2 linked regions of the Ovis aries genome follow. The protein of the gene in region 1 purifies or fractionates together with the protein of each later gene. This does not show direct contact. Links are inferred from orthologs where the notes say so. Each region holds a gene or a part of one and is shown on either strand. Other genes may lie near its edges.

Evidence for each region.
Region 2: the proteins of AXIN1 (region 1) and AMER1 purify together in Homo sapiens (affinity purification with mass spectrometry; 4 studies listed by BioGRID and IntAct, with this or other methods). This does not show direct contact. The link is inferred for Ovis aries from reciprocal best matches to the Homo sapiens genes AXIN1 and AMER1.

Annotation. Positions count from the first base shown.
Region 1 is NC_056077.1:882,832-888,203, forward strand, and holds the start of AXIN1 (axin-1), read right to left. Parts: upstream 3,454-5,372; 5' UTR 2,345-3,453; intron 101-2,344; exon of another isoform or gene 1-100. UniProt on the Homo sapiens protein: Component of the beta-catenin destruction complex required for regulating CTNNB1 levels through phosphorylation and ubiquitination, and modulating Wnt-signaling.
Region 2 is NC_056080.1:46,617,490-46,622,735, reverse strand, and holds the start of AMER1 (APC membrane recruitment protein 1), read left to right. Parts: upstream 1-1,519; 5' UTR 1,520-1,689; intron 1,690-1,702; exon of another isoform or gene 1,703-1,847; intron 1,848-5,246. UniProt on the Homo sapiens protein: Regulator of the canonical Wnt signaling pathway.

The DNA of each region.
Region 1 (5,372 bases):
GCGGCGGCGGCGGCGGCGGCGGAGGTTGCGGCGGCCACGATCGCTTCCCCGAGCGGGGAGCCGGAGCCCAGAGCGCCTAAGCCCAGGCCGGAGCGCCCCCGCCGGCGCCGCCCGGAAGTGCGGGGGCGGGGCCCGGAGCGTCGGGCGGGGCCTGGAGCGCGGGGCGTGCCCAGAGCGCGGGGGCGGGGCCGGGAGCACCTGACGGAGCCCAACGCGGGGACAGGGCGAGGAACGCGCGGCGCGGAGCCACCGGCGTGGAGGCGGGGCTGTGTGGGCGGGGCCGAATAGTGGGCGGGGTCAAAGGCGGGGGGAGCCGGGCGCAGAGCGCGAGACCGAGCCAGAGAGCGAGACCGAATCCGAGCGCTGGGAAGGGCCTGGAGCCTGGGGCGGAGCCTCTGCCGTGGAGGCGGGGCCTGGGCGTGGGCGTGGGCCCTGAGCGTGGAGGCGGAGCCAAAGGCGTCCAGGCGGACGGGAGGCGTGACGCAGAGCCCGGCCGAGTGGGCATCCTCAGATATGTCACTGGGGGCGGGGCCTTGGTATGGGCGGGGCCAAGACGCCGTCGAGGGTGACCCCGGAGGGGGTGCCGGAAACCGCGCTGGTCCCCTGGGGCTGTGTCACTAGGGAGGGTGCCCCGAGCGCCCAACGGAGAGACGGCCTTCAGGCGGCCCCGGAGACGCATGCCAGGTCGGAGCCCTTTTCTGCTTCCCACATGGTGTCCACTGACCCAGGGCTCCAGAGGTCAGCACCCCAGTCCCGGCCCGCCCAGCCGGACTGCCACGCCCACCGAGCTCCCTGACCCGGAAGACTCTCGAAGAAGGACGGCCACCGACTGCCCCTGGCATGGAAGAAAGCAGGTGTCCAAGAGTTGGACGGTTGCAGGGCCAAGCCAGGCTGACCAGGAGCTAAGCCCCGAGTGACATACAGCCTCGTTGTCCCCCTTCTCCATGCCTACTGCCTCCTGGTCAGCCAGGACCCTGAGAAGGTGGGCTTGGGCTCTGCCCTCCCTGAGTCCCCGTCAGGTCACACAGAAGGCATCCAGGGAGTGCTAGTTGTCACTAGGGCGAGAGCTCCAACCTCCAGAGAGAGCTGTGGGCGGGATGGCCTGGCCCCATCCCCGCTGGTCCAGCCCGCCTGGGTTTCACTCAGGCACCATCCAGGGTCCTGGCAGGGGCTTCACTTCCCACCACTGCCCCACAGGTCCCACTGGCCCAGGCCAGCCTGAGAGCAAGGGCTTCCTGATGTCCCCACACCTGCAAGACAACTCCCTCACCCTCACTGTCGCCATGGCCTCCTGGCCTGTTCTGCAAGCCCCGCTGGCTAGCTCCTGGGGTGCCCACCCATCACCAGCCCCTCCCAGAGGAGAGATGTGGGCACCAGGAAGTGCCCCTGCAGTCCACCCCCACGATCACCCAGGACCTCATCCTCCAGCTGTGCCATGTCAGACCGGGCACCTTGAGAAATGCTCCCAGGGGCCCCAGGGCCTGGCTGTACCCCCTTGTACACACAAGCAGGTTGAAGCTCAGGCCACACAGGGATCTGCTCACGTCCTCCAGACCTGGGGCCCCGAGTCCCTCACCTGTCCCATGCTGTCCCTAGCACCCCCAGTCCCTCTGTCCTAGGCTGTCCCCAGCAGCCAGCCTGCTCCCTGGGGCCCTCACAGTCTTCAGGGCTCTTCCCTGGCTGCCTCTGGTCACTTGCCCCCAATCCCTGAGGTCATCTCTGATGCCACTACCTCTTCCCAGGGACACTACTTGCCCCCACTGCCCACTACGAAGGGAGGAAGTCCAGGCTCTGGGCACTCCCCCACCAGCCAGCCTCCTGCGCAGCTGCCCACGACTGGCACCTGCCTGAGGTGCACAACACGGAAGCACCCCAGCTCTAGCAACCAGCTTTCTAGGGCTCAGTACAGCCTCCTCCAACACCCAGGCTTTCATCCGTGAGGGAGGAGGCCATCAGGGAAGTGCCCCAGCCTGCTGATGGCCCAGGCCACCTCTGAGGGCTGTCACCACACCCAGGACAGGCTGGGCAGCGGCAGTGGCTACGGTGGGTCAGCACCGCAGAGGAACAGCACTGATGAACCCAGCTGGACCGACTAGGGTCCTGGTGGCAGGTGTCACTCTCTCACATCCCCTGGATGGCCCCAGGCTTCCCAGGGCTGGTACAGGAGATGGCTTTGCAGCCTCTCCCTGGCTCTGTTCAGCTGCAGAGTCTTAGAGGCAGAGTGGCACAACAGGGTCTGTTTGGGCTGCAGGAGTCCTGGGTGGGCTGGACAGACAGCAGGGCCTCCAGGACATCGGTCCTCAGGCTGTCTTCCCACCACCAGACACGGGCCCCCAGTGCTTGCCTTGGTTCTGCAGAGCTGCTGCTGTGGCCAGGCCAGGCTCCCAGGGTCGTGTCCACATCCATCCTCCTCCTGGCCCATGGTGGCAGATGTCCCCAGGCCCTGGGACCAGAGCAGGGCCCTCGCACCTCCGGCTCCTCGGGGCCCTCACCCTGTAGGGACAGGAAGGGAGTCAGAAAACCTCGAGGAAAGGCTGCAGCCCACTTCCATGGGCTGTGGCTGTGGGCACTCAGGGTGGGGACGGGGGACCCCACAGGAGGGAGCTCAGGGAGGCTCTGGAGAGAGGGAGGCAGGGAGGGCAGTCCTGGGGGCCTGTGCTGGAACAGGGGTGGCTGGTCAGAGGGACTGCGTCAGCCACCCAGAGCTGTGATCAGACAAAGCCGCGGGAGCCTGGGAACAAGGAAGTGCAGGCTGGAGCCCTTTCTCCTACAGAGGGCCTTTCCGATGCACCCTCCCCAGGGGCAGCAGTCTGCCGCTACAGGCTTTGATGTGATAAACTGTGGATGACGTGTGTTCAGGCTTTCCAGGAACTAAATGAAAAACTTAAAACCAGAAAAGAAATTATTTTCTTCAACTTAAGACATAAAAGGAATATTTGAAACACAGTGAGCTCTGAAGCCTTACAGGTGTTTGTCCACTTGGCTGAGGAAGACCATTTATCCTAAGAAATGATCCACAGGAATCATCCGTGATTGACTGAGGAGGCACGCTGAGGGGCATCAAGCCTGATGCCACATGTGAGGGACGAGCCCCCGGGATGGGCTACTGCTCATGAGGTCCGCACCGCCTCCCAGGAGGGGAGGACAAGGAAGAGGCTGCTCTGAGTCGGCCTTGTAGAGGCAGTCCTGCTTCGCAGGCAGAGCCTCTTCTGGGTTCTGCATTTTCTTGCGCCTCTGCCTGGTCACAGGTGTGCATGGTGGGGGTGGGCAGTGGGCAGGCAGGTGAGGACCTGAAGCAGAAGGAGGCCTTGGCTCATCCATTCTGACGAGGGCACGCGGACTTCCAAGAGGCGGCCCCAGCCGCAGGAGCCACCTGCCTTTCTGGCCATAAACCCGGCCCCCGGGGCTCTGCATCTTGTCCAAGTGTGCTTTTTCCATCAGCTCTGAGCTCGGAGCGGGTGGGGGGAGCGGGTGTGCCCCCATCACAAGTTTGACAAAGGATGCGGAGTCGTCACACCAAGGGCGTGAGATACACACCAAGTAGAAAGGCTCAGAGCCCACACACACGGTACCCGCCTGGGTGGGTGCAGAGGACATGCCTGTAAAGGCGGGAACCACCCCAGAGCACCCACACTGGAGGGGATTGGGGCCGGGCTGCGGTTTCTTCGTGTGTCAGGAAGGACCACAAGGACACTAATGTTGTGATCTTAGGAACGCCAGGAAGCTCTGCAGCAGGCTATCTTCCCATCAACGGTCGGTACAAATTAATCCAACAGAGACAGCTGCAGGGCGAGGACCTTGGGCTACGGGACAGAGCTGATCCCTGAGGCAGTGTCAGGCTGGGTGTGACTGCTGTGGTTGCCCCCGAGAGTCTGTCCTAGGACCGGCAAGGAGGTACGCCTCCTGGGCCAGCCGGCTCCGTGGCCACCCGTCTGGGCCTTTCTGAGCCCAGGCTTGGCCTCTGACAGGTCCTCCACCTCTTTCCACCTGTGTCCGGCTCCTCTCGCCCTTCATACCTGTAGGCAGGAGTGTCCTTCAGGCTGGCATTCTGCATCCCTCTTACTGCCTGGACTTCTCTCTCCAGCCTGCAGCCAAAGCTGCCACAGACAGGTCAACCAGTAGCCACCTCAGCCTAAGTGCCAAGCAGGGAGGGCAGGGGACAGGAGCAGGGCTTTCCTCAGACAAGCTGGCTCCAAGGCCAGTTCAGTGGCGCAGCCGATACTTTCTGACCCTGCTGCTTTCTGTCATCCAGTCCCAGTGGTCTCCACTCCTAGGAGGTGTTTCATCCTACCCAGACCTCTCTCAGGCCAGGCGGTCCCACCCAGAGTGGAGAAGGAAGCATTCTGAGCACCCTGCCATTGCGGGCATTCTCAAAGACAACCAGCTGCAGGGGTCACCTGCTTGTTCCGCTTGTTTGGAGCCCCGAGTCGCAGGCCCAACAAGCCAGCGCCACACTCATCCCAGGGTCCCTGAACAGATGACTCACCCAGCAGACCTGAGAGCCCCCATACCCCTGCTGGCCCCTAGGAGTCAAGGGTCAAGTCCCAAGCCAGCACACTTAATCCCAGGGTGCCCTCCACACGTGCCCAGCTCGGGTCTTACCCTGTGTCCTGAGGGGGTCGCGTCACTCCAGGTCAAGGGGCATGGCAGGGCCACCCTCCTGTACTGCCTCTCTGGTGGATTCTGACCACAGGGCTGTCTGTTAGGCTCAGGGACGGAGGCCAGGTGTTGAGGGTTTGATGTCCAAGGTGGCTCCCAGCAGCCACTGGGGCCTGGGAAGGAGGAGGGGCGAGCAGCGCCCCCCCACCCCAGCCCCACACCTCCCCAGCTTGGTGCTTCAGGACCCCCTGTCCAGTTCCCACCTCCCTGAATACTTGAGCACCTGCCTGCCTCAGGCCAGCCAGAGTCTCCGGGCACCTCCCTGAGCCAGAGTGCCCTCCTCAGCAAGTAAGGGTGCCGACCTGCTGCTGGCCTCAGAGGTCTGTGTGCAGCCCTCCATGAACAGGCATAGGCCACGAGCTGGACCCTACGCTGGCCGTGGTCCAGGTCGAGTGTCTCAGACACATCACCAACAGAGGACTGGCCGCCCGGCCCCGCCCACTCCCAGGGCTTTCCCCAGGAGTGGCAGATCCAGGCAGAGGGGCCAGGTCCCCGAGGGACGCCTGCCCTCCTGCTGCACTGACCTCATACTGGGTGGACTGGCACCCCTGTCCTCCCTGTTCCCTGTCCCAGCTGTCCCATCCCTGAAGGCCTCTCCTGGGGCAATGAGAACTCACACCCATCTGTTGGTTATCCCTTCTCCTTCGGCCTGACACACTTCATTCCACCCCCTCGAGCCTGCACAGTCCGGGGACCAGGGCCACTCCCCAAGC
Region 2 (5,246 bases), on another chromosome or scaffold:
TGTCAGAGTTGGAAGACTCTATATGCTTGACCAGTTTTACACCCTCCTTGTGGAGATGGTGTAATGGTCTGACCCACAAGAGAAAACGGACTGACTAAGGTCATACAGCAAGTCTGAGGCAGAGCTGGAGCAGATTCCAGCCCTAGCAACTGTGTAACTTCCTTTGGTCCACACACACAGGGGCAGTAGTCCTCCTCTTACCAGTTTAGCAGCTGGATCTTTTCAAGGCAGATAGAACCCAATAGAACAACAGAGAGCACTCCTCCTGCAATGCAAAAAATGGCAGGCATCCTTCTCTAATCCCTCCCCCCTCCTCAACTGTATCACTTCCACCCCTCCTCGCCCCGCTCCCCTGCTTTTTAGACATTCACAGAGTTTTAGGGCTGGGCCTTCTGGATACTCTTGAGCTAGTGGTAGAACTGGATTCTTTGCTGCCTCAGTTCACCTGGCCCTGACAGCCACCAATGCCATTTAATGCCCTCAGGCTAGAGACCCAAGTTCAGGCTGGCCCCCTACCACATCCCAGACACATCAGCAGCAGGACTACTACAGGCCTCCTCATTCCACCTTCAACTTTGACCTCCAGTCTGAGCCCAGACAAGATTTTTCTCTCAATACCCAGGTTTTTCAGGGATAGGGAACTGCACAAAGCCTAGCTGAACATCAAAGGGCTGAGAGGGCCACTAGAGACTTTGGGGATCTCCTCAAGTTCCATAAAAAGTGGGAAATTAGGGTGAGAGTCAATCACGGAAACAGGTCTTTACAAAGAAGAAAAGTGAAAGCAGCCCTGGACTGGGAGCCCGGGTCCTGAATTCCAAATCTGCCCCAGTTACTAGCAGGATAGGTGACCTTGGGGAAGCACTTTCTCTTCTCTCGGCAGCAACAGACTTTTCAGTAACTGGTAGAAGCTGGACTCTATGTTAAGCCTCCAGTGTGCCGAAAAGGTGGAGGAAGCTGGGACGCTGGAGCTGCAATTGACTTTCCTGGCAGGTGGGTCCCTCTGAGCGGCTCCGGGGCAGGCGCCCGGGCCCTGATTCTATGCCTAAGGGTGGGGCAGCAAAGTGCAGAGGGTGCGTTGTAGTCCCCCAGGAACCCCAACCTCTCCACCCCGCCTGTCCCAGCTGGCCTCTCTGGAATAAACTACCGGTGGCGGCCAGCGCGCCGCGGCCCGATTGCACCTCGGCCACGGAAATAAAAGCGCCTGCAAAAGCGAAACCGGGCTCCAGAGAGCTCCATACTGACGGGACCAGCCCCTGGAGCTTACGGTGTCGCCAAGCAGCTACCCACCGGGCGTGAGAGGGTGGGGGACTGAGGAGTCCCCGCTAGGGGTTCTGGAGCCTCTCCGCCCCCAGCCAACACCACGCCCGCGCTTATTTGCATTTAAAGAGAAACACACCAAGGAAAACAGTGGGCGAGTCAGGAAACGCCTTCTCACCGTGGTGATTGGACCACACGCCTGCCAATCAGGAAGCCAATGCCCCACCCTGTGGCTGTGAAGTCCGGGGCGGGGGAGGGGTATGGGGGAGCAGTCCAGAGCCTGGGGAAGGGGAGCTGGTGCTGGAGGTGACTGGAGCCACGGCGGCGGCAGGGGCGGCGGTGGCGACGCTCTCAGCCGTAGCAGCCAAGGCTCCAGCTCCAGCCAGGGCGGCGCAAGAGACAAAAACCGGGCTGGAAACCGGACCGGGCCGGGTAAGCATTGCGCGCAGCAGGAGCCTCCGCCTGCCCGCCATACGGTGCAGTCTCGCGTGCTCCACTCTGGCCGCCTGGAAAGGAGCTCTAAGGGCTGGGCCGGTCGGCGTCCGGACCGCTCTGCGCTCCCCTTTGGAACCAGCTTTAAGGACTTTCTGGTGAGGGTCAGAGCCATGTCCTCTGAGCGCTAGAGACCGCGGCTAGAGGTGGAAAAAGGAAGGCAGGCCAGCGGACTATCCTGGGCCATGCCTTGGGGCTCTCGGGGGAGGAAGGGGACGCAACCCGCACGTGCTGCCCTGTGGTCTCGTGAGGGGAGAAGCCAACCAGCACCCCCAGCGGTGCTTTTGTAGGCCCGGAGCTCTACAGCTTTGTTGTAGCACATTAGCTGGAACAGCTGTGTTAGACGAGTATCGCTCATCACAGCGACCCGGCTGCCGACCCTCCCCTTCCCGGCGCATCTCCTGCCTTTCCCTCTCCTCTAGGGACGAAGCCTACGCGCTGGCCTGGGCCCGACGGGTAGTTGCATTGGCGTGGGTTGGGGTATCTACTTTGTCTCCTCCCTCGAGGAGCTCAGTTGGGCCTGTGGGCTGCTCACTTCCCTTTGGAACCTCGGCCTTGAGGCCCCAACCAGCCGCGCCCCCTGCTCCTAGGCTTCCGGGCGCATCTGGCGCCCGCCCCCGCGGACAGAGAGGCTGGCAACCCATCTCTCGCAGTACCTTGGGTTAGGGCAGCAGCTCAAGCTAGTCCTTGGGTTAGAGCTGCAAGGCCGCTTTGTCAAACTCCCCCTCGCCCCCGGGCCTCTCTCCTGTCCCTGCTCCCCCTCCCCCGCCCAGCCTCGCCTCCTGTCCCCTTGGAGGGTACTGGCCGCGCTTTTCTCTCCAACCTCTGGTTTAAAAATAGCGATAACCATGGTGTGATGTGGTGTGGTGTGTGTGTGTGGCGGGGGGCAGGGGGCGGGGGCGCGGTTCTGTGCCATAGGTCGGGGGAGCAATTATTGTAGTAGAGAAACAGCCGTTTGGGTGTGTGTGAGAGAGCTAGAAAAGCAGCCAAATCCTCCAACTTCAAATTTACTGAAAATACCCAGCCTTATGGGCCGTTGTCATTGTCTGCTGCAGACACCTCTGACTGGTGACCATCAGACTTGGTCTAGGCTCTCCTGGCAGTGAGGGGCTGTGCTAGGCGTGCCACAGCTCAGGACAGGCCCTGCAGAGCCAGCTTCCATGGGCCAAGCTTGCCTTGGCATGGGCCACGGGAGTCAAGGTGAACCTTTGGCCCTCACACAAATATCTCCTGCAGCTTTACCTGCCTGCTGCATTCACATGGGCTTGATGGAGGGTCCTGCTTTGTTGGACTCCCCAGCCACCCCTTGAGGAGTCCAGCAGAGCTCCCTCCCTCAGTGCAGCTCCCCTCATTTGGCCCCACCCACTGCTCAGTCTGAGCGGAAGTGTGCCCCTTTCTGTGGACTCTAGGCCTTTCTGAGGAACAAGAGGGAGGGAGCTATCTGTGCTGTGCTTAGTTGCTTAGTCGTGTCTGACTCTTTGCCATGCCATGGACGTAGCCCACCAGACATCTCTGTCCATGGGGATTCTCCAGGCAAGAATACTGGAGTGGGTTGCCATGCCCTCCTCAGAGGATCTTCTCAACTGTAGGATCGAACCCAGGTCTCCTGCATTGTAGGTGGATTCTTTACCATCTGAGCCACCAGGGAAGCCCAGGAGCTATCTAGGGACTTGAAAGGCTCTTCTTGGACCTTTAACACACCTCTGAGGGTGGAAAACTCTGTACACTACAGGTCCCTGGCAAAGCCTAGGTACCTATGAGAGGAGAAAATGAGACCCAGTAGATCCCTCACTTTAATGGAAGGCTGGCTGGGGACTTTTGTGACACTAGCAAGAACTGCAGATAGGACACTACAGTCACCTCCTCTCACTTTGACCAAGCACCAATACAATCCCCTACTTGCATCTGGGCATCTGTGGTTCAGAGCTAGACATGTCCTCTGCACTGTCTCAAACCAGCAGCCACCCAACATACCTGCCCTATATGACACCCCTCCCCACACTCAGACTCACTCACCCTACAATGTTCAAATTCTCTTCCCTCTCAGCTCTGGGCCTATCTCCTTAGTGTCTTTCCATCTCTTGCAATCCATGATGACCTCTTCTTTCTCAGAACTCTGAACTCCTTCAAGCTACCTGTATCCCTTGGGATTTTCTGGCTTAGGAAAAAAACTATAATTAAATTTCCCTGCCTCTACTTTGTTTCCCTGATACCATGGATGTCTGGGTTCTGCCCAAACTTCTTACAGGGGTAAATGAAACCTGAATCTCAGCCAAAGTTCCATGAAACCCTAGCAATGCATAGCGGTGATGAATGCTCGGGAAGGACTTAATGTCTGTCAAGCTTTGGAGAAGACCTTTATGTTCCCAACTGGCACTTGTCCTGATTCACATGAAAATGATTAGAAAAATGATACTCAAGTCTCATGTATTTATTGAGTATACATAATGAAGATTGAGAAGGGGAATGGGTTTCATCTACAATTTAAAAAAAATAAAGCACAATGTCTATAATCTCAGGACCTGCATTGCCCAGTCCCCAGCTAATTCATGAATCTAGAGACACCTGCCATGGAGAGAGATGAGAGATCTGTGTGTACATGGGATATTGTCCTGGGAAGCCTCCAGAAATTAGAGGGGTTTTGGTTAAGCAAAGGATAGTTGTATAAGCAAAATTAGGAATGAGAGGGAGTGGCTGGCAAGCAGGATGAGTGAAGTGACAGTCTTTTCTGGTTGAGATTGTATGGCTCCAAGGTAGAAAGGCCCCTTACAATCTCAACCAGAAAAGACCCAGAACTTCCAGATGTTCAAGCTGGATTTAGAAAAGGCAGAGGAACCAGAGATCAAATTGCCAACATCCGTTGGATCATAGAGAAAGCAAGGGAATTCCAGAAAAAACATCTGCTTCATTACTCTGCTAAAGCCTTTGACTGTGTGGATCGCAACAAATTGTGAAAAATTCTTCACATGATGGGAATACCAGACCACCTTACCTGCCTCCTGAGAAACCTATATGCAAGTCAAGAAGCAACACTTAGAACTGGACATGGAACAATGGACTGGTTCAAAATTGGGAAAGGAGTACATCAAGGCTGTATATTATCACCCTGCTTATTTAACTTGTATGCAGAGTACATCGTGTGAAATGCTGAGCTGGATGAATCACAAGCCGGAATCAAGATTGTCAGGAGAAATACCAACAGCCTCAGTTATGCAGATGATAACCACTCTCATGGCAGAAAGTGAAGAGGAAATAAAGACTCTCTTGATGAAAGTGAAAGAAAAGAGTGAAAAAACTGGCTTAACACTCAACATTCAAAAAACTGAGATTATGGCATTCGTTCCCATCACTTCATGACAAATAGAAGGGGGAAAAAGTAGAAGCAGTGACAGATTGTATTTACTTGGGCCCTAAATCACTGCAGACAGCGATTGCAGCCATGAAATTAAAAGACGCTTGCTCCTTAGAAGGAAAGCTACGACAAATCTACATAGCAT